Linked DNA regions of Mus musculus: regions 1, 2, 3, 4, 5 and 7 are each reported to be linked to region 6. The links are microRNA targets in miRTarBase. Many come from high-throughput screens and were not tested one by one. Region 6 holds a microRNA gene; each other region holds the end of a gene's coding sequence. Distances are from middle to middle.

Region 1 (4,306 bases), not on the chromosome of region 6:
AGATATGGGGGCCCATGCAACCAGAGGGGAGAGAGAATCCCCTATGGTTTTAATCTGTGTTGTGTTGGGGCTTGGAAGGGATCAGGGTGGGATAAGAATTAGAAGGGAGGTAAAAGTAATAGAATATAATAAAACAGCTTAAAAATTACATCAACAGCGGCTAGAGAGATGGCTCAGTGGTTAAGAGCACTGACTGCTCTTCTGAAGGTCCTGAGTTCAAATCCCAGCAACCACGCCGTGGCTCACAACCATCTGTAATGGGATCTGATGCCCTCTTCTGGTGTGTCTGAAGACAGTGACAGTGTACTTAGATAAAATTATAATTAAATCTTTTACAAAAAAATTACATCAACACCTTGGATCGAGCACTGTTCTGCACTGGCAGACAGATGCAGGGCCACCCAGCCAAGATGCCACATAAAAACTAACTGTGAGAAGCCCCAATTCACTGCAGTATGCCTAAGACACATTCCCTGGGTCAGGTGACAACTTTTTGATAGAGTTCAAAGGAATCAGACAGTGGAACAAGGCTTCAGAGGTAGTCTCTGGGACGGAGGATCTCTCAAGGCGGCAGTGTGTGGCGAGGGTAAGGGAGGCAGAGCAGGAAGAAAAGTCAGGAAAGGCTAAGAGCCAGAGTTAGCAAGCTTGGGAAGCCAGCAAGCTTGGGGTACCAACGGTTTCTCCTAAGGAAGCCAGGACAGAGTGCTAGGCAGGTCATATTGGCATGGCTGGTCATTGTGGCTGCGGATCCTACCCAGGGTGCATTACTGACCAATGCCAAGCAGCCAGCCCAGTGCTGATTCTCTCTCCCCTCTGGTTGCATGGCCCCCCCCTATCTTCCTCTTTTATCACATTCCCTCTGGGTGTGGATGGCACTGGTGCCCGTGGGACACCTTTCCCAGAACACTGAGGTAGAGCAGGAGACAGTGGCAGCCCTGGGTTAAACTGGTCTGACCCCCAACTGTGAGCCCCCCCCCCACTCCCCTCTGCTTGAGCTCCAAAGGCAGGACCAGAACTCAAAGCTGAGGCTGACCCCTACAAAGTGGGAGACTGCTTGCCCTGTGAGTACCACTTATGGGATTGAGGGGTGGTGACAGGTGAGGTCCCAACACCCAGCCAGCTAACAGCACCCATGGCTGCTTTTGGTAAGGCATGACATCTCATTCTTAAAACCAAGTGTTGGGAAGGAAGGGTTGATGTAACCCCCACCCCCACCCCAGCACCACCCCCTCTGTCTGCAGACACAGGAAATGGCTGAGTGAGCCCCTCCTCAACCCAACTACACTGTGCTATCTTCCTGCATGAGTGAATGAGAGTTCAAGCTGAGGATACTCTTGGATTTAGAGCAGTTCCTAGGTAGCTCCCCTGGAACATTAAAGATTCAACACATCTAACATCTGGCCAACTGGATCCCCAGAACTTCTCTTGGCCTTCCCACACCCATCCAGATTTTCTCTGTTATCATCTAGGGTGACAACTGCTAACATCATTTGCCCAGGGTAACCTGCAAAGGGCTGTGGTCCCAAGACAAGGCTGGGAGAGTGGGCTCCCACCTGCTCTGGGACCTGTCCTCACCTTTTGTGGTCTGTTGGCAGGTCTGACAGTTTGGATGGCCTGTCCCAGGGCTTGTGTTTCCTATAAACACGTCTGTCCAGGGACATGCCTCAGGAGGGCAGACTTTTATATCAGAAGGCTGTTGACATCCCTCCCTGCCCCCTCCCCTGCATATTTCAGAATTATGTTCTAGTTCCTGGGCTTGTAAGCCAGTCTCTTTATTTTAGTGTTAACCTGAACGCAGCAGAGTCAGTTTCCATGCCCAGTCCCCTATGTCTGTCTCTACTACAACAGTCAACAGGTTCAAGCAGCCAGGCTGAGCTAAGACAAAGGACCCTGGGAGTCAACAGCCAACAGCAGGTCACAGGCAGACTCGGCAACACCTACACTTTTATCTATGCTACACCTACCATGCCGATGGTGGGCACCCAGGGGCCAGTGTCAGCTGACAGCCATGCAGAGCCACTTCCTCGGCCCGGCCACCTTTGTACCAGTATAAAAATGGAATGCTGAGCTTGGTGGGGTGGGATTGGACAGGGCAGATGACAATAAGAACCTTTCTACATGGAGGGTAGACGGTGGTGACCACTTCAGGACTGGCCTAGTCAGTCCCTGTGGAACATGGTACACAGATGACAGGGCAAATCCACCTTACCTGGAAAGCCACAGCCCCAGTCCACCCTTGGGACAAAACAAAGAAATCAAAGTCATATTCAACCATTTTATTGGACAGTGGTTAAAAACTAAGGCACGGGGTGTGATGGTGTCAGGCTTGGTTCTGTGGCTTCATGCTGCTCAAAGGTAGGCACAGACCACTCCCACGAGCACCTGCTGCACTCCTTAGGCTGGAGAATTAAATACTCTAACATCAGCTCAGCAACCTAACAGGTACAATTTATACAGGCGACATATTAATACGAAGTTCATCAGGGCCTGTAAGGAGGGTTCCCTTTCAATAGACAGGAGAAAGATAACTCTCAATGCCTGCTATAATACTTAAGAAATGTTTGACAAGGCTTTAAGTTCCATCAAATGCCTAGCAAAGCAGAAAAATGGTAAGACTCCAGATTGTGGTAAAGGTTATTCCCTTACTTTGTGGAAATCTGAAGAGAGGAAAATATTAATCCCTGGACAGACTGACAGGTGAAAAGGTTACCGAGATGCTAGGTGAGGTCTTAGGCATGAGGGAGCCTACAGTAAGACCACCTCATCTGCTGGTGGCTGCTTTCCCAGAGGGAATATCTTTACTCCTTACCCTGCCATCAGGGTTGTGATCTGCTTACTAGGACACATCTGGATTTCAAAGAAATGTACAGCGTGGACGGAATCTCAGGGACCCGAGTGTCTCCTGACAACCTTCCCAGGGCCCGTGCGGATGTGTCAGGCACGATAGGTGAGGAGGCATGGCTGGAAGCAGGGTGGAAGTGAGGTGGGTGTCTATGCCAGCTCAGGCAGTTTTCCTGGAAGGCAGAATGGTGTGGGGTCCTCCTATCTTCCTACACACTCAGCTCCCACAATGGGATGGCCAGTGGAGATGCTGTTCATCCTCCATGATACATACAGGACCAACTCAACAGCTGCCTGATCTGTGGAGGGAGATGTCCAAGACCCTCCACAAAGCCCTTCTAAGGACACTGGAGTCCATGCACCAGCATGCTGGACATTCAGCACTCACAAGAGGATCAAACTAAATTCAGAGCTCAGGTTTCCCACAGCAGGAAATTCTCAGTCTAGTAAAGACTGAAAATGAAAAATGTCATCCAAGAGGCCTGGACGTCTCATGGCAGGTTTTGGTAGGACTGCTTCCTGAGGGATTATTAAAGACTTCAGGTGACTTTATAAGCTTTTGTGCTATTGGATGGAGCTGGGTTAGGAAGGCAATCCTTACCAGACTTAGGGACAGTGCCTTCCAAGAGGCCACCAAAATTACAACAACAAGGGCCCATCACAGCAGTGGGCCTACAGACAAAACACAGCCTTCAGGAAGCAAGGGTGGTGGTCAGTTCTTGCCTTAACAAAGTAAACATGACTCTTGCTTGTTGCAATGTGAATCTTCCAGCAAGGCCACTCAGCAGCTAGTCAGCACCTCAGGCTGCCAGCTTCGTAATCGGCTTGCAGAGTGTGGGGACCAAGTATACTTCCTCCCCCCAAAAAGGACATCAACGAGATTAAGGTCTCAGGTGATTACATACAGACACAGAGGGAACAAGAGTAGGATTGTCCTCTTAAGGCCACACTGGTGCCAGTAGAGGCTGGAGGGATCACCCAGGTCAAGGGTGGCCATGGTGGTGAGGTCTCTGCAGGCTCTGCTGGGGAGTGCATTCCCAGGAAACTCTGGAACTGCACGATCCACCACAAGTGTGTGCCAGCCACCTTAGAACTTCTCATACGGGTTTTGTTCTTTAAACAGACCTGAGGGAGAAAGGGAAAAAAGAACTCGGTTTACAAATTCACTCACTCAACTGGAAATAAGCTCACAAAAGCAATGTATAGCCTTGGGTGTTCTGGCTTATGCCCATAATCCTAGGACCAGGGAAGCTACGGCAGGGGGAGTACTGTGAGTTTGAGCCTAGCCTGAATTAGAGCAAGAAATATCTGAAACAAAACTAAGCAAGACAAAAGGCTAGGCTACCACATCTTTAATCCTAGCACCCTGGAGGCACAGACCAGTGGCTCTCTGTGAGTTCGAGGCCAGCCTGGTCTACCAGTAGATTTCTAGGCCAACCAGAGTTACATAGTGAGACCTTGTCTC
Region 2 (4,306 bases), not on the chromosome of region 6:
AGATGAACAAGCCAAGTATCTGGGACTCAACAAGAATGGACCCTTCAAGCCTAACTACTACAGGTGCCTTGGGCTCCCCAGAAATCAGAGAAGGCGGGGTACTTAGAGCTTCCCAGAGTGCAGCTGATCCTTGTATCTGTTACCACATACCTTTACGTGAACTCAGAAAAATAACATATTTCCTCCATGTCTCCTACCTCAGAATACTCTGAAATCTTCTTAAAACATTGGTGTTCTCCACCACCCCTTCCCGCCCCATAAATACTAGCCTTTTAAAATCACATTTTTGTTACTTATTTTGTAATTGTGTATGGAGGTGGAGGTGGGTGCTTGTTCATGATGCATGTGCCCTGGTTGCATGTGTGGAGGACAGAGGATAACCCGTGGGACGAAGCTTCCCTTGTACCGTGTGGGTCCTGTGGAGACTGGCAGGCTTGGTGGCAGGTGCTTGTCTCCACTGAGCCTTCTCAATAGCCCATGGCCTTTTTTCACTGTATGAAAAAGAGCCACAGATATCTATGCTTACCATATACACTAGGAAAGCCCTTGTCTCCCTCTTACACCTTTAGGCAGGCTCCTTATGTTCCAGTCCCACCAGCAGATAACATCAGTTTCAACTTTCTTTTTCCCTCCAGGTATTAAGTTCCTGTAATGCAAGCCAGAAGACATGTTAAAGAATAGAACCAAGCCTTTTCTCAAATACTATCCAAGGAAGAACCTAGCAAGCTGCTTCTCCAATCAGAGCTGCCCGCCGTGCTCATCCTGTGTGTTAGGTTATTTATTTATTAAAATCTAGAATCCTGTGCCTGTAGCCTTGGCCCAGAGTGTGGTTACTAACTCGTGGGGCCGTGAGAGCCACAGAGGACAGGCTGAGGAAGGAAAGAAATGGGCTAGCCATTCCTCGTGCATCACTCGCATTATTGCCCATTAATGGAATCCCCAGCGATGACCATGTTCTCTCCAGGCTCAGGAGTTAGTTCAGGGATGCCAGACTCCTTGTTACTTAGGGTTTTCTGAATACATTTCAGCAGCTGCCTTTCTCAAAGCTTTGGTCCTTTCCCAGGTGAGGCCTTTTGGAAGCCACTGAATTAATAAGGCCTGAATTCTCAGCCTTGATAGTTACTGTCACTGCCTTCCTTATAAAAAGGCTGGGGAGGCAGGAGTGGTAAGGTCTTGTAAGCTGCACCAAGAACTCAGCTGTGCCTGTGTCCGTGCCTACTGGGATCTCTTCTCTTACCCAGGACTTCTTTCTTCTCCTTGACTAACTATATCCATTTCAATGCTTTCTGGCTCTAAGAGGGTTGTGACTCCATGATCTTAACAGCTCTGGTGTTGGTCAGGCATTTGTTTTACTTTCTAACCCTACTAAACTCTGCTCAGGAAGTAGCCAGCCAGCTCCACTGGGACCCATAGTTCTGCTTTCTTCCCATTTAACTGGACTGTTTCCTAGGAAGCCCCCTAGATGGGCACTGTCAGAGAAGGAGAGCCCCGTATGAACAGTGCTTCTGTTGTGCCTGAAATGATGCTTGGAGCTGAGTTGGCGAAGGTGTTTGCTAGAGATTTGGGGGCTTCAGACTTTAGAGTGGGCTATAGCTTGATATCCTAAAGAAAGAAGTTTTTCCAGGAAAGACTTTGCAGCCTGGCTGCAGAAGACAGGAGACTTTGTAAAGTGTGTCGAGATGATGAAACCTAGTTTGAGGGCTGGAGGTTAGCTCAGTGGTAAAGCACTTGCCTGGCATGAGTAAGGCCCTGTGCTCAATCGCTGGGAACTAGGGGAAGGGATGGGGCACTAGTTTGAACCTCATCAGACATTCATCCCTTTGGCTGTTAGCCTTGGTGAAAGTGAGATCTGCAGTCTGATAGCTTATCTTTCTTTGCTGCTGCTGCTGCTGCCGCGCTGTATCGTTATTATGATCTGGCCCCTTCTGTTTAAGGATTCTGTTTCAGAGAGTTTCTTAAGTAACTCCAGCATTATAAAATAATAATGTAAACAGTGTGAAGTTTCTCATTCTACCCAAGAGTGATATCCTTTGGAGATAGACTGAGTGGTTTCGAGGTTTCCACTGGGATCATTTGATTTCAAGAATTAACCTGGAGTGACCCTAGGAATCTTGAGTTGAATGAGTCCCTCTCATGGCCCTCCCTATTTAGAAGTCTCCTGTTTGTTCCCCATGTGTCTTTTACATTGATACATCTTTTACATTGTATCAAGAGCAAGGTCATTCCAACAGAGGACACCCAGAATCACTGAAACCTTCCTCTAGATCTTCTCCCCTGGCTCCACCATCTCTGCTGTCCCTTGGTCTTTGTGTGTGCCCTGGAAGCTAGTCTGGAAGTGTCCTTATTTTCTAAGATAGGGAAACAGAACTTGGGTAGGTGGCTGGTTTGCCTTATGGTATACATTCTGGCTCACCCCAGAAGATGGACTCTTGCCAGGACAGCATCTGTGGCTGTATTCTGTTGTATAAGGAAGATCAGAAACACTGAAGACCTTACCGAGATAGGCCGTTCTGTTTGCCTCATTCTGATTTCTGTATTAGCGGAATGCATCAATCACTCTCCCACTACCATATCTGTTTTGTTTTTTGTTTTTTGTTTTTTTGTTATTGTTGTTGGGGTTGTTGTTGTTTTGAGATAGTCTTGCTCTGTAACCCAGGCTGGACTCAAAGTCACGGCAGTTCTCCTGCCTTGGCCTCCTGAGGCCATGTGCTACTATGTCTGGCCTCATAATTGGATCTCTTTAGTGAAAGATTCATATCTCTGTGCCTCATTTTATGTCCAGAGCAGATTCCGTTAGGCAGGTATCTGGCTTGGGCCCCAAGTCATATCCTGGTGATTTTCTGCAAAGCCTAGCTCTCTACAGAGCTTCTTATGGCTGCCACACCATAGGGAAGAGATCCCCTCCAAGTAAAAAAGGAGCCACATGGGTTTCTAAGTTACGTTGTACCTGACTGCCCATAGTGAGGTATCTGCCTGTGAGTTACAGATGACATCTATTCCCTTCTCTCTGGAGACTTCTGTGTCATCAACCATTAAGAAAGTAGCCAGAAATAGGATGTAAGACAGTGATAGGACACTTGATTAGCATGTGCCAGGCCCTGGGGCGAATGAATCCCAGTACAGCAGGCTTGTGGAGAGTTGGGAAGAAAGAAGATAGCCCAGGTTCTGCCCTAATGCTGGAACCAAATCATTGTTTCCTCTAACCTTGGAATAAGAGCAAATTTCTTCTTATTCCAACTCTTCCTTTTACAAGCACTCTAGCTACCTGGAGACAAGGAAGAGAAGACTGGTTGTCTCTGGTTATGTGGCCCTGGGCAGAGGGAAATACACCACTTGTCTACAATGAATTTGTGCTACTTCAAGGTCTTCTTGCTGTTTTAGTGGAAATATTGTTTTCTTTTTCTTGTTAAACAAAAATGCCTCTAATCTACCTTCCCTCTGCCCTCCTCCCTCCTCATGTTCCCCTCCTGGGAGAGCCAGGCTCCCCACGGCCACACACTCCTGCAAAGCTTTTTCTGCTGCTTGGCTTTTCTCTGAAAAGATCTGAAATTGCTGCTCCTGTGCTTTTCCTCAGAATTAACTTTTGTCATGGTTTAAAATAAATCAGAATGCATTGTTGCATTAAGCTTTTTTAATAAAGGAAAATTATGGAAAGAAAATAGGTAACACCAGCAAATTATATATTGACATTGACAAGTCTAAACATATATATACTTATATATGTAAAACACATCCATATCTATACAAATAATCATCTAGTTCTTACTGTCATCTTACTGAAAGGAACAAAGCCTCTAAGGATCACCAGTTCTGAGAAGCTCTTGGAAATCTCTATGTCTAAGTGATTGTATTAGATCAGCAATAATGACTATGTAATCTCAAAAAATAAAGTATTCTTAAAACTGATCTGTGTCCTGAGAATACCACTTAATTCTGTGAACTATGAATTCAGAGATGAGAGATATGTGGGCAAAAAATAACAAGGATACCTGCCGTAGGATGAAGATGTGAAAAGCTGATGCAGTTACCAGCAGGTGTGTTGGAGTGACCATCACCCTGAGAGTCTTGTTTTACACTGAGACACTGCTAACAAATACCTTGTCTCTCCCCGAACACCACGCCTTGACCCACAGCTGGCTATGTATAAGGAGCACACCTCTGAACCACAACCTTGAGGAGGAGAAGACTGTGAGATTCAGATTTTAAAAAACAAAACAAAAACCTAAAGTATGGATCTAGGTCACCCAATTCCACTGTGTTACCTGGAGTCTGTCATATCCAGCCATAGGAAAGAAGGAAAAGAAAA
Region 3 (4,257 bases), not on the chromosome of region 6:
AGGCTCAGATAATTACTTATTAGTGTGCATTTGATGAGGATATCAGTTTGTCATTTTCCTTGTATGGCAGTGACAACCTTGGATGTCAGTCCAAGTTTAAGACAGGAATTTGTTTGCCACCCCATACAGCAGGCAAGCTGATGCATCCAGATTTCACCCCCCCCCCCAATTTTATTTCTTTTAGGCCTATGGGTGTTTCGCCTGCATGTAAGTCTGCTGCTGTTCAGGCTCCGCGTCTCTGTCCACCTTGGGTGACCAGAGTGGCTTCAGATCAGGCAGTTATGAGTGCAGCAAGAACAGACTCTTGGGAGACAGCTCCAATGGGGGAACAAAGGCTGCTACGCAACCTTTGGGGCGTGGGTAGGGGCTTTTGGAGTGAATGTACATCATTGGCCTGGGGCAGGGTGCTGGGGTCTCATTTGCATAAGGAGGAATTCCAGGTACCGATGGACATGACCTTATAAGGGAGAGGAAGCTTGACCTGGCTACTTGGCTGTGTAGCCTCCTCCAGGGGGCAAAGGCGGTGTGTGTGTGTGTGTGTGTGTGTGTGTGTGTGTGTCCCAAGCTTCATGCTCCAGGACAGGAAGGCTCAGAGCAGGGGTGAGGGTGGGGGGACGTGGGGGTGCAGAGACCTTACTCCTGCCAATCTCAGGATCAGATTTCTGGGGTTTGGACACACCTTTACCCCACTTTTGCTTTGCCACAGTTCCTACCCTCGATTCATGGCTCCCCAGTCCCAAATAAGTCCGTGTATCATGTGTATGCCATGCCCGAAGAGGGTGTCTGACCCCCTGGAAGTGCAGTTACAGGGAGCTATGAGCCACCATGTGGGTGCTGAAAACTGAACCCCAGTCCTCTGGAAGAGCAGCCAATGTACTTAACCACTGAGCCATCTCTTCAGCCCCACATCTCGCTTTGTTAGTGGGTTCTGGGGAGACCTTTTATCCTTTAAGCCTCATCTCCAGCCCTGTTTTTTAACACACACACACACATACACACACACACACACACACACACACACACACAACTTCCTTCAAAATCAGGCATCCAGGATCTGAAATGATTCCACCCCTTGATTTTTATTAGTATGAAGATCAGACCATAGCATTGGGGATCTTGAGATTTACCTGCCTCAGATTCCTGTAAGGGAAGAGTGGGTCTAAGACTCAAGGTTTGCACAGAGACAGGCAGTAGAAAACACGGGGCCCTTTGTATGCTTAGGATTCAAGGCTTCTGTGTTAATGACTGTGAACTTTCTTGTAGGGATGACCTTTCAAACTAATCCTCCCATGGGAGACTACCTATCTCACAACTGCAGGCTCCACTGAGCCTCCCAGTGGCCCGTAAGCAAACAGTCCTAAGCTGTTGGGTCACCTCCTGTTCTGATGAGGACACAAGGGCACTAACAGAGCTTCCTCCTCCCACCCCCCATTTTTTCGGGTTTGAGAGCTGTTAGTTGCAGAGCTAAAAAGGCAAGAAGAATCTGTTGGGAAAAGGGAGTCAGCAAACACAGAAGTGAGTTTCTCCTGGCCCCTCAGCAAGCTCCCACACAGACGATAGCTATGTTTTTCTGAGACACATTACACATGAGATTGAGCCTCCGGATTTTCCTATTTCTAGACAAAAAGAGCAGCCTAGCACAATGGCTCACACCGACAGCGTGTATACCGCACGCCCTGACTCGTGTTTTACATGCCTCATTTCACTTCACATGGCGCTACCATTGTCCCTGGTCAATGGATTAGGAAAATCCAAATTGAAGCACGGAGAGATGGAATCACTTACAGCTCACATTCACAGCTGAATAACTGGAGGAGCCAAAATTTAACCACGGGCAGCTGGAAGCAACGACCTCAGCAGGTAACTACTTTTGGAGTTCACATGATTCTGACTCATATGGGAAGATAGGGTGGGCTCAGGGTGAAAGGATACACAAAAGACCTCTGTACAGTGGGTGAACAGGTCACCGGTAAGAACTTCATTATTGACCCATTGCTGCCCCCTGGTGGTTTGCCTGGGAAACTCACAGGTAAAAAAAAACCCGCAAGCCTCCAGTCCTATGCTATTCGGATTTTATGAATGGGGGCCTACACTGGCAATCTCAGCACTTGAGGTAGAAGCAGGAGGCTCAGAAAGTCAAGGTTCTCCGATACATGGCTAGTTCAAAGCCAGCCTGAGATACGTCAGACCTCATCTCAAAAACAGCGTGTGCATTCCCTACCAAAAACTATGATCCATGACCATACCTGTCAGTCATCTTGAGATATAGTAAAGGGAACTGTTATCTGCTATGATGTTCTCTCTCCCCATCTGAGACTAGGTCTCCTTTAGCTCAGGCTGGCCTTGAGCTCATTTTGTAGACGGGGTTGGTCTCCAACTTGCAGCAGTCTTCATGCCTCTGTTGCCTTCTAGAACTGAAATTGAGTCAGGGAAGGGTGGGACGGCAGAGTGGTTAAGTCCAGGCTGGTGTGGAACTCACGACCCTTCTGCCCCTTGTCGGCTTGGGCCTACTTCTTTATTTAAATGGATCTCACTATGCTGCCACTCGGACTGGCCTGGAACTCACATCCCTCCTGCCTCCATAGAGCCACAGCCTCTTCCTCCCTCTCCTTTCTAGGCTTCCCCATGAGGGCGCGTAGTGTCCCCGTCACCACGCCTCCTCAAGTGGTGCTAGGTGGTGGTTGCTGCTTCAGGCACACTGACAGCAATGCAGAACAAGGCCACTTTCTATGGATAAAGTCTAGCTGGTATAAATAAAAACGAGGAAAGAGGCGGTGCCCGTGAGTCCTGTGAGTCACATCTTCTCTAGAGCTTCGGAACTGGGTGGCTGCCTGCTATGGACCTAGGAGGCTGCCATCTGGAAGAAGTAGGCAACCACAGACTGAACACACACGCAGGAGTGGCAAGTTAGAATTTATGGGGAGGCTCAATCTTACATGCAGAGAGAGGATACAGACAAATACCGTTAAAAAACAAAACCAAGCACCTGCAACCAAGTATTGGCTTTAATGAAAACTACCAAAGAACGAGAGCTAACCACAAAGACACAGCCACTCAGAGACAAATTTCTGCGGCAGACTGCCCCTCAGCCAGTCTGGATACCGAGGAGAGCTAGTCGCTACTGCTGAAGCGATGGGGCAGAGGCTACCAAGGAGACTCATCTGACTGATAAGCCAGGGGCTGGGGACTCAGGAGGCACTTAGAAACAGGGGAGGTAACACCCCCAGGCAGCCAGAAGACTCTGGGAAGCCATCCTTCACAGTGGATCCATAGCCCTGGGTCAAGTTATCTGACATCCCTAAGCAACCCCGTCCCATCCTGTCTGGTGGAACCTGCCTGTAATCCAACAGCAAACAGCCATGGACACCAATCTAATCTTTCCAGTTTCCCCTTTCCCTCCCGAAGCCTCCCCAGAGGCTATCTCGGGGGACAATGGCTCTGAGCGCGCTCTCAAGAGTAGTAGGCTTGCAGTTACTGCTTTGGAGGTTAAAAGGCATAAAACAGCATTCTTGAAATTCTGTTCATCATATGGCACTGATTCCATTTCGGGTCTGATTTCTGTTTCTTCCCCCCCACTCCGTCCATGGCCTCTCAGCCCACACAGACACAGGCGCCAAGGAGCCTAGCTTGTGATCTGAACTGGGATCTCCCAGCAGAAGAGATTATTCTTTTTGTCATCTTCAAGTTTCCATTCCACCACCAGTTTTATCTGGAAAAGAGAAAAAGAATTGGAAAAAATGAAACTGGAACCTTGATTTTTATCCATAATTGGCTTAAGCGTGCACTTTCAATTCCGGTTCTTTTTAAGTCCTATCTATCACCTTGAAGCCAGATTAGGGTAGCCCACTACCTGTGATCTTAAGCTCAGAAGAGTGAGCCCTGTTAGTCAACGGTATCCTCCAACCTAGTCCAGTTTATGAACGTAGTCTTCTAAGTGTGCTATTTCTTTCCCCCTTCTTTCCTGCTTACATTAAAAAAAAAAACAAAAACATTTTTTATGTGTATGAACATTTGTCTGAATGTGTGTGTATGTGCCCCACTTGTGTCCCTGATACCCACAGAGGGCAGAGAAGGGAACCAAGCTCCCTGGCACTGGAGATGGTTGTGAGCTGCCTCTTGGGGCTGGGAATTGAACCCTGGGTCTTCTGTAAGAACAGCTAGTGCTTTTTTTTTTTTTTCCCGAGACAGGGTTTCTCTGTATAGCCCTGGCTGTCCTGGAACTCACTTTGTAGACCAGGCTGGCCTCAAACTCAGAAA
Region 4 (4,275 bases), 97 Mb from region 6:
CATAGAAACTCAACTCTAACTCTCCTCATTTCTCAGAACTGTTCTGAGTGCATCTATAAATTGTAGATCTCCAAAACACTAGTTCAGTTTGGTAAGAGCAAGGCAAAGAGGTCCTTGGATATGCTTTTCTCCTTTACGCAGTAAACACTATTTCAAAGCCACTAAAATGGAAATTCACTAGAACTGCAAGACCTCACGTGAAATAACACAGGATGGGAGTTGATTACAGCATTTGAAGCATCCTTTATGCTTCTCTCTTACACACACACATACCCTCCTTTGTGTTCCCTACCCCCCAACGATTCTTCCCAGCAAAGAAAAGAGTCAGAGAAGGTGAAAATTTTTGTCACAAAAGCCCACCTAGCACCAAGGACTTCAGAGAGATGGCTAAAGAAGTGATGAATGAAGTAGTGCAGAAAGTTTGAAAAGATATAGGAAAAGATAAGGCCTTAACATATAATTGCACAGAGCAGCAAGAAGTCAGTAGGGAAAGCTGTGAGGGAGCAGCATATGTGAAGCAGCTGAGATCTGAGACACTGGAGAGGCATAGAGGATGGCCACAGGTTCAAGCTATTTACTCTAGTCCCAACACAACCCTCAATGTCTTGAAGACCCTTGGCTGGGGCCATTGTATCTGCACTCTGCTCCATGTAGTACAGCACCTGACCACAATAAGAGATTGGACCTGTTATCACACACCTTCAAGAGAAAGCAGTTTCAGTCTTTTCTCAATGCTATGTGTGCATGTGCTCGTGCATTTGTATTTTGAGTGAATAAGACAGGGAAGGTAGTCCTCTAAACTTCCAAAAGAAAGCCTCTAGCTGTAGTTCTTAAACTTTGACAGTTTGGGATATTGAATAGAATACTACACAAGAAGAAAAATTCTAAGACTGATAAAAGTCAAGAAAGAAGAACAAGGGAGGATATAATTTCCAGGAAAGTAAAGATTAAATGAGACTCCAATGAGGAGGCATTAATAGGATGCAGCTTCTCAGAAAGGAGAGGTTAGAAGGGGGTAGTCAGAAATTTCAGATCAAGGAAAATCCAGGGTTTTTGAGTTGAAGAAATCAGTGATAGGGCAAAACACTATTTTCATACATTGGTCCTCACTCCACTAAGGCAGCTGGTTGAATAAGAGATCTCCAGTAAGTTTGGCCTACTATGTTGTGACAGAAAGGAAAATAATTCTGAGAGCAGAGGCAGGACCAACAGAATGCAAAGTGCTCAACAATGTAGAGCATAGTGTACAATAACATCTCTGCCTTGGTCTATTGCACACTCCTCAAATTCACTTTCTTGTTATGTTTCAATACAAAATGACTGGTTACAAGTCACTAGTTTATATGTTAAGAACATACAATGCATGGCAGGCCGATAAAAAGGTGCTTTAAAATGGCAGTTCTCTTTGGAGAAAGATATGAACCATGCCCTAAAATTGGCCCCTAGTGGGCTCCATAGGAGCAACTGAAAGAGTATCCACTCCAAAGGACTGATGATCAAGTTCTGACAATGAAACTGTTAGAAACAGTTTCAAGCTATCCTACCCCAGTCTTACCCCATTCTCCAAAGCTGAACATCATGATACTTTAAAAAAATCTGGGACAACTGCTCCCATATTTACTTTTATAAAAACACATTATACTCATAGAACATTTTCTTTATTTCTTCTTTAATTTCCACTTTTTGGTTACATAGAAAGCACTCCATTCCTAAAACCAAGCAAGATGAGTTTGAGGTCTGGAGTCTTGGGGATCACAATACAGGCTGAGGTGATGATTCTAAGCAAAAGGTCAGCTGCAAAACAAGACAAAAACCAAAACTGAACAAAGACCAGTTCCTAGGAAGTAGCCATCACATTTAATACAAACAGCTAGCTATTAGAGTACCAAGAAACAAAAGAAAGTGTTCTAGTTTGATTATTTTCTCTTTTGGATGGTCATTGTAGGGCAAGAGACTTGTTTCAGTTGGTGCCTTCCCACTAAATCATTTTCCAGGGCTCATTGAACACAGTGTCAAAGCCTAGGAATGTGCCTGAACTCTCCTCACAGATTTCTCCTCACCCACTCATCCCCACAGACAAAAGAGACTGATGCTGAGAACACACACAATCTAGATCATGGGCTTGTTCATTTTCCTACCTAGCTGTAAGTAGTAGAGTAAGCTGGTGAAAGGAATCATGGGCTGGGAAATGTGTATGTTTATATACATGATAGGCTCCCTTCCATTTCTCTCTGACTACTTGAAAACATTGCTTCTCTGTTTGTGAATATATTTAGGTGTCAATGACTAGGTAGGTTGCTCATATTTTATTCAAAAATGTCTTTTGAAACATCTTCCCTGTTTTATTAAGTCCCCTTCTCCCACCCCCTTATCCTCCTCCCTCCCACCCCAGCCTCTATATTCACAAGTTAATAGGTTAGTAACAATATTAGTAAGAATAGTAACAACAACAACAACCAACAACATTAATAATATTAGTCCCCTATATTGGTATAGCACTTTATGATCTACAAAGCGCTTTCACATCCATTATCTCATCTGTGCCACAATGCATCAGTCATTAGGCACATAGGCCTTAACTGTGCAAGGAAAAGAGATCAAATGGTATAAGTCAAGTGGTGAAGAAAGGGGAAGAAAAGGCTAGTAGTGAGGAATGTGGGAACTGTGAAGTTTCTAAGTAGTGAAAGGGAGGGTTGAACCAAAAATATGAATTTAAAAGGTAATTAAAAATTGAGATTTATGTTTAGTGTGTGATATCAAAAGAGTAGTCATCCTCAGACTATATGTAGATGGCCTAAATTAGTTATTTCCACATATTGTTCAGCTTTACCTGGTGGTATATGTATTTAATCATAGGAAGAAAAATTCTGTCAATCTGAGATGTCATTTTAAAAAATGACATTGGCATTGCAAGATCAACATTTAAAGAACACTAAAGCCATGTTGTGAGTGCACTTTTGACATAACTGGAATAAAACATTTAGGAAACTACTTAAATAAAAGCAATCTATGTATTTTATTTATTATTAGTGTCAATTTTATAGTTATTTTATAATTTATCCCAGGCTATTATAAAATATATAAAACTGAGATATAAAGTATCAGCAATATAACTTTGCACTTTAAATTCTTTTCTGCTACAGATTTTGCTTTGGAAAACCAACTTTCAAAGCAGCTGTTTGATTTCCTTGTGCAAGGTTCTGTAAATGTGTATACTCTGTCCCTGATGGACTTAGCTGTTGTGACCTAAGCTTTTCCAACATTTTAATCCTTAGATGATGGAACAAACACATCTTTATTGTGCCTTGTTTAACTGTTCATATTTCCACACAGGATAGTAGAGTTTAAAACATTAAAAGAATGTATGGATGTATATGTATATATATATTTAATAATCATGAATGAGTTTTAAACTGTGGGGTGAATCTGTGAGATGAAGTAAGAAAATTTGGCACAATTCAAACATTATCCTTTGTTTTGGTAAACTGTATAACACAACATATTTTCCACTGTGATCTATAGGTGCTATCCACAAAAGTGGGGGTGGTTAATAGCAAGAATCACTGGAATGTTTCTAGTAAATTAACAGGGACAAGTCCCCCAAATACTCACAACCAAATGTTGATATAGAAGTAAAACTATATACAATACAGTTACTTATTTGTAGTTTGGCACAAAGTTTTCCATTTTTTTCCTTGTGGGCAAACAGTGCATAAACTACTCGTGCAACTGTATGACTTTTAAAGTCTTTTACACAGAACATCAGATTAAAGTTTGATTTCAAAGACTTATTCCCACGATTTAAAATTCTTTTCTTGTAAGCACTTACAGGTCAACATACATACCACAAAGCTTATTTTGAAAGAAAGAAAACACAAACATCAAATGTCTTTCTGGAAAATGTGAGTCTCTTCTTCAAACACAGGTAAAACCCCAAATGCTGTTTCTGCTTTTAGGAGATTGTAGTTGGAATCCCTGCAGAAAAATCAAAGAATTTATGCCATCTTAGTAAGTTTTAGTGTATGTCCCACGAAGGGATCATACCCTGTAAATATATTAACACCATACTAGATGTTGTATGATGCAGAAAGGTAGAGAAAGCACTCCTAATTGTCATGTGCTGACAACTAATGCTCTTTTGTTTAAATGATCTTGGCTTTTTGTCTACATGACTTTTTGAATATGTTGTCCAGAATCTGTCTTTATTGCAAAGCCCTTCCATTCCAAAAATCATTCAAGAGCATGTTTTAGTTCTATTTCCTTAATAAGCAAAAA
Region 5 (4,306 bases), not on the chromosome of region 6:
AGGCCTGCTTTGCCATTTCTTAGTGTGCAGCTTTTGTTAGAGTTCTTACTTGGGAGCCAGTTCTGCTATGTCTATAGAACTAAGAGAGCCAAGGCTCTGGAGCTCAAAATGCCATTTTTATTTTATTTTTATTTTTTTAATATAGAGGCAGGGGGGGGAGAGAAAAGAGGAGTAGAGGCCATCCATGAGCACGTGGAAAGGGGTGGGGGAAGGGGCGAGGGTACAGGGAGAGCAAGAAGGGAAGAGCAAGAGCTCAATATGCCATTCATATGCAGAGCCCCAGCCCGCCCTGGTGCATCCCCAAAATTCATTTACCCTGTTGGTAAACCAGGGCAGAGTGCCATTCTTTAGATGGACGAGGGCACTGTCAAAAGTTGCCTTCCAGAAAGGCACAGGCAAAGCAATTGTTTTCACCTGTGGTTACCTGTGTTCGGCTCTGACTATCACACTGGAGGGTGAACATGTTGCCCCCTAGCTGATTGAGGAGCACCGCTTAGTACAGGTGCCCAGGGAGACCATGGAGGACTGGGGACTTGCCTTCATGCTTGAACCAACATCCTAGACTCCTATTCTATATAGAAATTCATGACATGCTTTTATTTTACGTCACAGTTGGCAGTAGTTAATCGTCTTTGTTTGCTTCCCCTAGAGTTTACAGATGCTTCCCCAGCAGCGGAAAGCCATCGCAAAGTTCAAGGAGCCAGCCCATGCACTAGCGTTTCAACAGAAATTCCACAGGTATCCTCTGGGTTCTACAGCTGGTGACTGGGGAAGAGGAGGGTGCTGTGCTGTGCTGAACAGGATCAGGTTCCAAATCCTTTCTATAAACTGTTTTCATTGTTTGGAGAGACCCCTTCTACTTCCTTCCATGCACCTTGGTTAATTGCTGTCATAAGAGTTTGTGTTAACTGTCTTTTCAAATTTCCACAGGCACATGATTGATCTGTCCCACATAAATGTGGCCCTGATTGTGGAGTGATCTTGAATGGAAATATCTGACCTCATGCTGCACACACTGTGGAATTTCTTCAAGGAAGCTGTAGGTCGGTGCAGGATCCCCAGAAGTGCAGGTCTCTCCAGTCTGCAGTTTGCCAACTTGTCTGCGTGCCAGCCAGCCACAGGGTGATTCCAGAAGAGAGCTATTTAAACTGGTGGACATGGGATTGGAGTCTGGTGTTAGATTGTTTTGAATTCTGTTGTCCACAAGAACTCTGTTCTCGTGTTCTTTTGTTTCCGAGTGCTTATAATGCATGTAGACCTTGTTCTTCGTGATCCTGCTATGTGATTGGTCACAGAGTTTTAGATTCAGGAAAGAATGTTACCAGCTCAAATTCCGAGGATTTTTTTTTCCACAGCAAAGAATATTTGATAATGGTTGCACTTATCTTCAGTACAGGCTAGAAAAGAGTTCTCAACCAGGCTTAACTGGAGTGGTCTCAGAAAGCCATCAACAGGCTCTGGTAAAACATAGGTAAAAATGGGTGATTATGATTGACACTCACCTGCCCTGGAAAGCCAGGGTGTGAGATGGGTGTCTGGGAGTGGTGCCATGGAAGTGGCGATTCTGCTTCTTATAAATACCTCCAAAGTGCCACCTGTTTCAACAGAAACGCTCAGATTGCTAGCTAGGCAAGCACTGGGCACTCCAGAGCCAGTGGCTCTGCCACCCTGCAGGCAGCCCTCTTGGCCTAGTTTTCCTGGCATAGGGTGAGGCACAGCTTGAAAGGTGGTCAGACCTGCTTGGGCTTCTTTGCTTTTCAAATGTCCTAGCTCTGTAGTTCGTGCTGTCATTGGTTTGATTGTCTCACTGTCCTTCATTCAGGGCTCTGAGTTTCCTTTGGGCTGCCTTTCTATCACATTTGTGAAGGATGGATTTCTCAGCAGGGCTGATGCTGCCCAAGATAAGTATATCTGTCCACATTAGTCATTTTAGTCGATTCCAACAGGTGAGACTTGCTTTCTACAAAGCATCCCTTAGAAGTCCATGCTGGGCAGACATTGAACACAGTGCCTTATTATGTTTCTCCCTTGAATGCTTCAGTGTTTTGAGTCATACTCTAGAATGGACTGACACTAGGACACACTCAGGACTTTTTTAGTTGTATTTTATACCTGTGATTTTATCTCACATATCTTGGTAGGATGGAGGAGACAGAGGTCTGTTGTCATCTACTGTCGCTGGGTAATAAGGAGGGAGCTCTGGACTCAAAGCAGCTGGCTTCCACAGCTGAAGGTTTTACATTACGTTTTCAATTAAGTTGCCAACGTTTTAACAACTGGAGAATGGTATTCCAGGCCCCAAGAAACTTTGCTTAGGATTGATTCTGAGATGACACTGTGTGCTGGCAAGGAGCATTGGGGGGCACAGTTGTTGTTTGGTATCCAGGCAGTTGAGCTGAGGCATTCATAGGATGTCTTAGAAGACATTGTGGTATGGTGCCACCTCTGACCACACAGCCTCTGCCTCACGCCTGCTTGGTACACTAAGGGCCAGCCCTGCAGGGGCTGTACCCAGCTTGGCCTTAGCCCATCTAAGTGCTGTCAACTGGTCTCCCACTGTCACTCCCACTCATTTCATTTGGACACAGGAAATGTTGATAGATATTTCGTTAAATTGGTGAGTTTGGTAATATGTTAGCTCTCATTGGACAAGATAGACGCCATATAGGAGGCTGAGGGTTAGGACACAGTAAAATGAATTTAACAGTTTCACTGCTTTCTCAAGTAGTTTTGAGTGCTGGGTCCTTAAAACCCAACTATGCATTTTTGTCTGAAAGTAGGCACTGAAGCATTGAAGTAAGGTAAGGAGACATCCTCTTCGACACCGCTGTTGACCGAGGAGCTCAGGGCCACTTTGAGTGTGATGAGATACCCAGGAACACGTGTGCCCACAGCTGAAGTTTTACATTACGTTTTCAATTAAGTTGCCAACATTTTAACAACTGGCACACACATGAGCCTACACACTTGAGCCTACACACATGAGCCAGTTTTTCCTTATTGTAGTGTCCTGTGAGACAGACCAGCTCCAAGCACTGCTTAGAACAACGGCTCACTCTGACCTTGCTACACATCCATTTGGGGTGGACTATCAGACCAGGCAAGCCAGTCCTAAAGGCTTCTGTGAAGGAAACCACAGAAAGTGAAAGAAGCAGAATTAGAAAGAGCATTCCCCACTTGCAGTGTCCTTCTCACAGGGAAGTCAGACGGTGGAAGATCTGCTGCAACCATTATCTCTGTTCTTTGTGTATCATGCATTTAAAATGAGATGGAAAAGCATTAGCATACTGTGTAAATATGGACCTTTTCAGATTAAAACGTTAATGGAAATGCTTTTAACTCAAACAGCAACATCTTAGCTATTTGTTAGTTCTCTTTTGTTGTCTTATCAAAGTTTAATGGAGACACTTTCATAATTGTTGTTGTGTGTACATTTGATTTTCATAAAGATGGTAGTAAGTCAATGCATTAACCCTCATCTGTGTATTATTTGTTCACAAGTTCCAGAGGTTGAAGGACTGACTCTCACATCTGTCCTGAGGTAGAGAGTAGGGGTGGGGACAAGGTACTTTCCCTCTCTCTGCCTTGTTTATTTTGTACTGTAATGAATGTGAGTCACTCAGCTGCTTACCTGAACATAACCTTATGCTGCCCTTGGCTTGGCCACATTTGTTAAATCCTTATTATATTGATACTCTTCTTGAGGAGGAAATCTCACCTTTTCTTTTTCAAGAGATTCTGAGGCAGTCCCCACCCAATCCAAATAGGTAGCTGCTTGTGCAGGTCCTGTGCCCATGGCTTGCTGTGGAGGAGTGTGGCTGATGGCCTGGGAGGTGGGTTTTCCATAATCATTTCCATTTGCTAGTTCTCATGTGATATGCAACGGTCCAAGATGGTTATCTGAATCAGGATAGAACACCCATTAGTCATTTTCCCCCCACAAAGCAGCATTCTGCCTGAAGCAGGTAGAAGGCTTTGCTGCTCATGGAAGCTGGTAGGGAACTTAAAAGGCATGGGAGGGAGGACTGGACAGTGGTCGCTCCGGTGGGTAAGGAGAGTCTTATAGCATGGATTGTTAGTAATGTACACCTCTGATGGGACTCCAAAGGGTGGTCCTTCACTTAGGTGTAGAGCCCCACAGATGGACATGTGAGGGAATTCTTGGGGTGACATAAACTAGATAAAGGGCCTTTCTTGGAGAACTAGGCTTAAGGAATATCCCTGTCTTCTGTCTTTTGGTTTTCGTTTGTTCGTCTTTTATTTTCTTGTGGCATTATTAGGCAGGTAAGCTTGATGTAGACCATTG
Region 6 (4,306 bases):
TGAACATACATAAGAAAGAAGGGAACTCTTTCCTCTCTAGCCCCTCACCTGGCTGGATTCTGTGATTATAAGATTTGAGTGATCATCAGAATCAACTGGAAGGCTTAAAGAGAATATAAACTGCTCTGTGTTATGACCTGATAGGTCAGGGGTGGAACTCCGCACTTTGAATGCATTCCCATGTGACGGTGATGCTGCTGATTCAGGGATCCTGCCTTGAGAATCACCACTGTAAATGGCCATTCAGAACATGAAGCATCTGGACACGGTGGCACATCAGACCTATAATCCCAGCACCCAGAGCCTGAGGCAGGTGAACCAAGAGATCTGGGCTACTCTGGAATAGACAGCAAGTTCCAGGCTGGACTAAGCTACTTAGTTAGACCTCCCTCATCTGAATAAAAAATATACATGATATAAAGACTACTATTTTTAACATGAAAGAGATTCACTTTTCTTTTGGGATCACATGTTGCCCAGGCCAGCTTGCAAATGTGTGTAGAAAAGTATGACCTATGGAGGTGGGTATAGGAGAATCAGCTTGAGGGACAGAGCTACACAGTAAGACAGTAAGCTCCTGTCTTCAAATGGGAGTAGTGATGGTAGTTGACAAGAAGTCACTTAGTCTACTGGTCTTCGGGCTGAAGGGATGAGGAGAGGGAACAACACAATAGGCTCCATATCCACTCTTCCTGTGAGCGAGTGACTCCTCTCCACGTAGGCCCATGTGTTTAGGCATATCTAGGGCCATGGGAGGGGGAATAGTTTGAGAAATCTCATCTATCAGACCCTGCACTGAGTCATTCATACAGAATAGAAAACAAGGAACAATAGACCTAGGTCATTCTTTTGAACAGCAGTTGGTGAGTCTATAATAGTCAAGGATCTTAGTGTGTTTATTAGTCTCCTAAGAGAGTAGCACCTCTGTTCATTTTGTTTCCTGCTACATCCTCTATGACTAACAGAGCTGTATCAAATAGTGCATACCTGAATATTTGTGAAAGGAAGGAAAAGGAACAGGGGTGTGGACATATAGGGGCTCTGTCCTTTAAAGTGCAGGCGAAGTGCCACCCTTTGGATTCCTTGGACAGGACTTACTATTGAAAACAGCACTTGTGCTGAGGATTAATGTTCCTGATGAATCAGGTCAGATAATCCTCTCTGTGGGCACAAGTCTGTGAATCCTCTCCTCTGTATACACTGCATTTATATGGGACTGTGTTAAAATATGGAAGAATCCAAGTGGACAGTGTACATGAAGTCCCAGTCTACAGTCCACTCATGCAGGCATAATGGATGTGACACAGCTCACTCTCCCTGGACCATTTGCTCCCTGAACCACATGTGGTTCATACTCCTGTGGACCAAATCCCTAGTTGAGTACCTGCCATACTGAATAAATAGACAGGAAACAGTGGAAGGAGGCGTAAAGGTCCTACATGAAGATAACTCAATGTCTGAACCCTTGCCCAGGTATATTGCATTCGCAAAGCACACTCATCCAAGTAGCAAGTACTAGAAAGGCACAGCCTGCACCTATGCCCTTGGCATGTGGGTTCAACAAGAAGGCTTACTGTTCTTGCCCTGTGCATTCCTCCAAGAGTTGAACTAAAGAAGAATTTCTCTTCCAGGTGTCGGTATGAGAACTAGAATGAAAAGCTGCGCACTTATGTCAATACACAGTTTACTATGTGCCCCACTTGTTCTTGATACCTGTTAGGGTCATAAGTGGAAATAAAGTTCTACCTATAAAATCTAGGTGGGAAGAGGCCAAATTTGTCACATTTACTCTCCCATGCACCATGCCCGTTGTATTTGTAGAAGGAAAGAAGGTGGGGGGAGGCATAAAAGAAGTATGCAAGCAGCAAACAGATGAGATATGATGCACAGACCTCCTGTCCTTCTCCATGCAGATCAGGCTCACCTTCCCCAAATCCTTGCCCGGGTGCATTGCATACAAATAGCATTTTCACCCAGGGACAAAGGATTAGAGAGGATGAGCAGAGCAGAAGGCCCAGGCACCTGTACCATGTTTGTGTGGTTCTGTATATAATATTTAATTTTCCTTGTCCTGATTCAGCCAAGCATCACCACCTATACCCAAGCTTGACATCCCTGATTTATATATGTATCTGCCCCCTTCCCACCATGAGCATCCTCTCTCAGAGAAAACTTCTACGTATACAAAATGGTATCTCTCCCAGATCATACTTGAGAATTTGTGGGGGCCTGATTTATGTTTGGAAGGTAGCAAGAAGGCTGGGATCTGAGAATGCATATACATACTGAAAGAGGGCACAGTGGAGGAGGATACTCCATTCCTTTCCAATGCCTTTATACAATTCAAGCTTTGTGGAACAGGGGTTATCACTGGATGTAACAAACGGGTTGCCTGAGTAGCAGCACCTAATGTGTGCTCCTCATCACATGATCTGACACTTAGCAAACTGGGAATCAAGAAAGCTCATGCTGAGAATAGAAGCATGTCTACCAAACATGATAAAGACCATTTTGCTGTTAGAAAATGTGTAGAACCAAGTCTGACAGCTAAAACCAAAATCAAATGGTGGCCAGGAGGAGGGAAGGTGGCAGGTGAGATGTGCAAGTATGGGCCATTCTACACGCAGACAAGGCTCAGCCTCTTTGAATCCTTGAACAGGTGTGTTGCACTGAAGCAGCATTCACACCTAGGTTCCAAGGATTCGAGAGGGGGAGCAAGCAAGAAGGCTCAGGAACCTGCCCTTCCTGTGTGTGGTCAATATGCTTGTGTGCAACACACTAAAAGAGAACGAGAGATGCGCTCTGTCCTTTACAAACACAAAGGTCTGGCTCTCAGAATCCTTGCTGAAGAACACTCTCACCCAGGTAGCAAGGATCAGAGAACTGAAGCAGGGCAAAAGGCTCACAGCAAATGAACGCATGGGCTCACCTTTGACACAAGGTGCTTATCTGTGATGAGAAAGAAGACAATGTTCTTGAGCTTCACATTAAGTATGTCTAGGCACCTGAGTTCAACTCCCAGCCTCCACATAAAAGAGCCAAGCGTGAGGACTCAAAGAAAGCTAGATCCCTTGGCCTAACTGGTGAGTGCCAAGTCCCTATTAGAGACTGTTTCAAAAAACAGGGTAGATGTCCCCAAAGGGGAAGCACCTCAGGTTGACCTCTGCACCCTCCACACACATACACAGAAAGAGAGAGAGAGAGAGAGAGAGAGAGAGAGACAGAGTGACAGACAGACACAGAGACAAAGAGAGACAGAGACAGAGAGACAGACAGACAGACAGACAGACAGAGACAGAGAAACCTGTCTAAATATATACATTCATATTTTGTTCTGAGATTATAAAAATATAAAGCCAGAGATACAAAATACTGAAAGAAAAAAAGACAGAGAGACAGAGAGAAGAGGCCATAAGCTCACAAGATGGCAGTAGAGATTGGCATCCTTTAACACACATCAGCATCTTGTTAAAGTTACTTCAGATACCTGGAGGACTTGGTACTAAGATAACTTACAGAGGTTTCTCATTAGTGAGCTCAAGATTTTGTATTTCTAAAAGGGGCTGGGTGATGCTGGGGACCTTACCAGCATCATGGATAAGACAGAGAAACTGTGGAGTTTGGTATCTACAAACCCTGTTTCAAACCTATACTTCACCATGTACTGGATTAAAGAATCTACCTGCTTTCTCCAAGGTCATGGACTACTTCTAAAAAATGAGAATAACAAATGCTATCTCTTTAAAGAGTACCAAAAAAATTAGGTAAGATGCAAGCCTAGAGTAGGATGCAGGACCTGGCCCCTGGCTATTATTTTTACCTCTTACACTACCATTTTTGTACACATGTGTCTAAATGAATGTCCTGTTTACAATAGTATGGTCATACTCATATATGCAAAAGCCAGGTGAAGGAGGCATGAATATCAGTGACTCGGAGAATCTGTAAAAGGCAATGCAAGGACTGGCTCTCTGGTAATTCTTCTTCAATGTGCCTAAATCAACGAAGTTCACACCCCTTTCTGTGAGGGATATGAAAGACAAAATCACAAGTTTCAATCTTTCACTTTCCTACTATATGTCACAGAGAGTGAAGAGAGTCAGGAGTAAGGAGAGAGGGGAGAAGTAGAGAAGGGGGGAGAGCGAATATAAATGAATGACAGTAAGGCATTTTTCTCTATGAGAAAACAAGTGTATCAAACAAAAGAAACCTTCTATGCTCACGGGCCTATATATGATGTACACCTAGCTATAGATGGGCTTCATTCATATTTGTTCTCCTATCTACCCAGCTGATGCAAAAGCAT
Region 7 (4,306 bases), not on the chromosome of region 6:
TGCTTGGATAAACACAGATGCACCCGGAGCGCCGGCAAGAGTTCCGCGTTCAGTTGGAGTCATTACCTTCTTGTGAATAATATTGCAAAAGAAATGGGGACATTAAAAAAAACTGAATATGAAAATGAAAACTCTCTGTAAGCCTAAAGAGAAAACACTACACCAAAGAGCTATTGGGCTCACATCTGCCAACGAGACATTCCGAACCATCATGTCCTGACTCTACCGTGACTTCAGCAGAGAACAGTGCACCCTTCTGAGGTACTCCGTTTCAGCACTGGACAATGTTTGCTAACAGGTCACACAGACACCACCAGGACTAGAGGGACATCGTTTCCCCCCCATCTCCCACCCTCCATATAACAAAACTGATACAAGTAAGAAAATAAGCAGCCAGCAAGATTCCCCAGCACTCACTTCCCTTAGAGTAGAAGAAACCTCTGCCATCGTTTCCTTAGAAGCAGAAGCACATTTCAAGTCGGCCGAGCTGCCAAGTGTCTGCACTAGAGGTGGGGCTTGTCCCATGCCAAAGAACAAAACAGAAAGAAAAATAAAATCGAGAAACATTAGCTTGTTGCTAAGCTTCCAAACAAATCTTGGCAATATAAATGTAATCACCCGTCAACCAAACAGAAGGTCAATCTTTGTGTGTCTTGTCAATCATTTACTCCTTAAGATGGCACTGTCCTTTCAAACACTTGGGGTGGCTCTGTACAAGGGTTAATGTCCCCAGAACTGAGAATGGGTGTCCCAAGCACGTTAGCCTTATTTGACTCTTAGCCCACGGTCAGATCTGTGCTCATGCCAACCAAACTCCTAGGTGGAGTTAAGAGGCAGAATGGGACCCATGTGTAGGAAGCACCTACCTGGTTCACACACTGGAGCCACATCTCGGCAAAGCTCACTCCCCTCACTACCAAACTAACACCTTAACAAATTCACTCCCACTTGTTGTGGGGGCAAAGGTGGGTGTTAACATAGGTCTCTGAGCATGCCTGTGAGGAGTTGCCTTGATTACATTAATTAGAAGGGAAAGAGCTGCTCGCTATGGTAGCAGCATTTCCTGACTGGGTCCTGGAAATGGAGACAGGGAGCTGAGCTGAGCAGCAGTGTCTTAGTTAGGGCTTCACTGTTGTGAGCAGACACCATGGCCAAGGCAAGTCTTATAAGGACCACATTTAACTGGGGCTGGCTTACAGGTTCAGAGGCTCAGTGCTTTGTCATCAATGTGGGTGCATGGCAGCATCCAGGCAGGCACGGTGCAGGAGGAGCTGAGAGTTCTACATCTTCACCTAGAGGCTGCTAGAAGACTGGCTTCCAGGCAGCTGGGATGAGGGTCTTAAGACCATGCCCACAGTGACTACCCATTCCAATAAGGCCACACCTCCTAATAGTGCCACTCCCTGGGCCAACCACATACAGATCATCACAGGCATTATGCATTAAATGCTGTCTCTTGTCTGCAGGCCACAGTAGCACCTGCTCCCTCAAGGTCCTGCCCTAGGACTTCTACAGCTTGGTGGACTGTAACCTGAACTCTGAGCCAGAATAAACCCTCTCTCCCTTAAGTTGCTTATATCAAGGAGCAATGAATCTAAGACAGATGGGTGGTTCCAGATCCCAGAAACAAAATGCATGGTTGCTGAGATGTGCCAGGGCCTGTAGCATTTGTTTGCAATGGGGGGACCACTGTTTACAAACAGGGCACAAGATATTTTATATGTTCTCAAAAAGAACAAGTCGGCCACACCTCTATTTGTAATCAGCAAACTAATGTTCTTTCATGATCCGTAAATAGATATATTTATCCTTTTGACTTCCTTGGGTTTTGTTTGTGTTCTGTGGGGCATGATGCGCGCAGAAGACTTGTCTGTCTGATGTACATCTGTCCTCTCTAGGGACATGTCATCCCAAACTCGAATTTCAGAGGAATGGCTTCTCAGGCAAGAGTCACATGATAGAATTCTATAAGCCTGGTGCTTGAGGAATGACGGGGTGTCTCCCTTTGCTCTGCCTCCCTTTGCTTGTCTGCAAGCCTTTCTCCAGGACACCCCTCACAAAGACCAATAAAACCAGGCAATGGGAAGCCTCTTTTTCTTAAGATGATTAACCGAGTTGCCAAGACATTCCCTTGGTTTATGGGTAACCACGGACAAGCACAGAGAGGCCAGAACATACAAACAGGAACTATAAACTCCATCCCCCCAGGGTCACGCAGGAGACCCGAGCTGGCTGTTTCCAAACACACTCCACTGTGACCTTTCAGAGCAGGCTATAAAGCTTAACCTAGTTCCCACCCCCACCTCCCCAACCCCACCCCCCAGCTAACGGTTTCCATGGAGATGACAGGGTGGATGCGAAGTTTCCTCTATGTTCCAGAAACTCCGAATGCTTAGGAGCCCCACTGTTATAAATCAGTGGGCTAGCTATGGGATCTAAACCAGTTATCTGGGAGCACATATTTTGCCCTTAACTTGTTTATAAATGGGAAGCCCTGCCTGTGTATTCTCAAATGCACAACATCCTGACACATGGGAGAAAATGAACGGACTTGGTTTTGGTCCTTGCAACCGTGTCTAAGTATGAGTCTCCTTCCGACTCTAGTAGGGTAACTTTGGAAGTTAAATGTCACTTACTTGCTAAACTACACTCAAAACTCAGGTGTTTCTCCTTTTCCTCCTCCATATCACCCCACCCCACACACACCACCTTCGAGATGGTTGTAAATTCATCTCCATCATTGGAATCACAGAAGATACATTCAAAACATCACCAAGCAGAGAGTTCAGAGCATGCAACTGTCAAAACATGATTTTAACTTCCTTGTTCTAGGGAGAGGGGGGAAAAATGCCCTAGTTCATTCTAAGACAGGAAAGTAGGTGAGCACGCAGAGCTACCAGAGCCTCCTGACCTGAGGTCTTTCCACCCTTGCTTCCTGTCCTCTCCGGTTCAGCATGCTGCTTGCTAACATTACCATTAACAAAGGCAATTCGACTGGTCAAGTGATTCGCCTTCAGTACTTGACAAATTACTTTTTGAAGTTGAGCCTACAAAAAACTTGCAAACCACTGGGTGAACGTTTTGGGTCTCACGCAGATCGTATAAGTTATCATTTTAAACCTCCTAGCGGGGTTTGGCCTTTTCTCTGCTGTTGCAAGGATACCTAGCCTACTTTTAGGACCCCATTCAGGTTTGAGAGTCTTGCATTCACTGGTAAGGAGGGGACTGGACAGGCTCCTCATTACACCTGAGTCCGCACCTGCATCCTACTTTATCTGTGGCCTCTTCTACCTCTTCCCTTAGGGATGGGCTTATCTGTATCTTCCCACACTTTAAACTATGAACCCCTCACTAAACAAGCGAAGCAAGAGCAGAATCCAGCACGGCAAAGCGGGGCTTAAAACAGCATTGGGAAAATGTCTTCAGAGCCAGCGAAGCTTCTTTTACTCTCAAAGCGTTTGCATGATGCACTATGGCCAGCAGCCTGGCCTTTCTGCTTCCTCTATTCCTGAGACATCTTTGCCCTTCCTCCCCCACTGGGGGTTTGGGGGCTAGCCCACTCTTTTGAGCACCCCCGTCCCCTCAAATGCTGGACAGTGGAGCTGCCCAGCCGATCCTGTCCTAGACTGCACCCTGCTCCCCGCGGTCCGGCTTCTCAGGCAGGTTGAGTACAAATGGAAAGAGTACGCCCCGGACATCCAGGGGGGATCCCAGGGGCTCGGGCTCAAAGCTGCCACCAGGTCCCATATCGCTGCCAGCCTCGGTGTCCTGAGAAGGCACGAAACGCCAGGTCCCGGCGCGGCTCACACAGTAGATGGTACCATCCAGGGCAACACAACGAAAGGGCTGGAGGCCTGCGGGTGCGCCAGGGGGCCTCAGGTGTACAGCACATTGGCTCCATTGCTTGGCCAGGCAATGGTAGCGGAAAACGCTGACCCCGCCACCTGAACCGACTGCAGCCTGAGCTTCCCCACGGCTCCCACACAGGTCAAAGCGATAGAGGAAGCCGTCGAGGGCCACCATGTCGGCAGAGCGCTCTCGGCTGCTGCTGCATGGGCACTCCTGCCACTCGTCGCGCCGGGGGTCGTACTTGAGCAGGCGGTAGAAGAGTGAGCCCCCGGACACATAAATCTCTCCGTTACAGGTGGCAGCCTCGTGGGCCACTGCGAAGGCGCCACGGGGAAGCGGGGCCACCGCCGTCCATCGGTCAGCTCGCGGGTCGTAGCGCTCCACGCTGAGCAGGCACTCGCCACCCACGGCATACAGGTGGCCGTCCAGGGCCAGCAGCTGCACCTGCGAGCGTGCC

What was found. Region 6 holds the annotated microRNA mmu-miR-362-5p (AAUCCUUGGAACCUAGGUGUGAAU, at 2,680-2,703, opposite strand). A microRNA usually pairs through its seed, bases 2 to 8, with sites in the 3' UTR of a target mRNA and lowers its output. Matches are read on the target gene's strand: a 7mer-m8 pairs with bases 2 to 8, a 7mer-A1 pairs with bases 2 to 7 and ends in A, and an 8mer does both.
Region 1: miRTarBase lists Pttg1ip as a target of mmu-miR-362-5p. The part of its 3' UTR that is shown has no 7-base or 8-base seed match.
Region 2: miRTarBase lists Ahcyl2 as a target of mmu-miR-362-5p. The part of its 3' UTR that is shown has no 7-base or 8-base seed match.
Region 3: miRTarBase lists Npc2 as a target of mmu-miR-362-5p. The part of its 3' UTR that is shown has no 7-base or 8-base seed match.
Region 4: the mRNA of Nexmif is a reported target of mmu-miR-362-5p. Seed matches in the 3' UTR shown: 7mer-A1 at 3,467-3,473.
Region 5: the mRNA of Rbm33 is a reported target of mmu-miR-362-5p. The part of its 3' UTR that is shown has no 7-base or 8-base seed match.
Region 7: miRTarBase lists Kbtbd11 as a target of mmu-miR-362-5p. Seed matches in the 3' UTR shown: 7mer-A1 at 1,806-1,812.

Annotation. Positions count from the first base shown.
Region 1 is chr10:77,596,688-77,600,993 of GRCm38, reverse strand. Pttg1ip (pituitary tumor-transforming 1 interacting protein) reads right to left here. Exons shown (of 6, transcript NM_145925.3): 6 at 2,262-3,966. The coding sequence ends at 3,929. Among named protein-coding and RNA genes, the nearest start is that of Sumo3, 7.3 kb to the left of the region's middle.
Region 2 is chr6:29,908,405-29,912,710 of GRCm38, forward strand. It overlaps Ahcyl2 (S-adenosylhomocysteine hydrolase-like 2), which reads left to right. Exons shown (of 17, transcript NM_001171000.2): 16 at 1-63; 17 at 636-3,906. The coding sequence ends at 642. Among named protein-coding and RNA genes, the nearest start is that of Strip2, 6.5 kb to the right of the region's middle.
Region 3 is chr12:84,753,504-84,757,760 of GRCm38, forward strand. It overlaps Npc2 (NPC intracellular cholesterol transporter 2), which reads right to left. Exons shown (of 4, transcript NM_023409.4): 4 at 1,056-3,709. The coding sequence ends at 3,623. Among named protein-coding and RNA genes, the nearest start is that of Npc2, 17 kb to the right of the region's middle.
Region 4 is chrX:104,079,309-104,083,583 of GRCm38, forward strand. Nexmif (neurite extension and migration factor) reads right to left here. Exons shown (of 5, transcript NM_001077354.3): 5 at 1-3,975. The coding sequence ends at 3,882. Among named protein-coding and RNA genes, the nearest start is that of Gm22266, 11 kb to the left of the region's middle.
Region 5 is chr5:28,412,638-28,416,943 of GRCm38, forward strand. It overlaps Rbm33 (RNA binding motif protein 33), which reads left to right. Exons shown (of 19, transcript NM_028234.1): 18 at 650-738; 19 at 931-4,306. The coding sequence ends at 979. Among named protein-coding and RNA genes, the nearest start is that of 9530036O11Rik, 52 kb to the right of the region's middle.
Region 6 is chrX:7,239,340-7,243,645 of GRCm38, forward strand. It overlaps Mir362 (microRNA 362), which reads right to left and starts at 2,707; the gene lies at 2,643-2,707. All of the region lies in intron 2 of Clcn5 (chloride channel, voltage-sensitive 5), which reads right to left. It overlaps Mir501 (microRNA 501), which reads right to left and starts at 2,012; the gene lies at 1,904-2,012.
Region 7 is chr8:15,028,620-15,032,925 of GRCm38, reverse strand. Kbtbd11 (kelch repeat and BTB (POZ) domain containing 11) reads right to left here. Exons shown (of 2, transcript NM_029116.2): 2 at 1-4,306. The coding sequence ends at 3,622. Among named protein-coding and RNA genes, the nearest start is that of Gm35340, 6.0 kb to the left of the region's middle.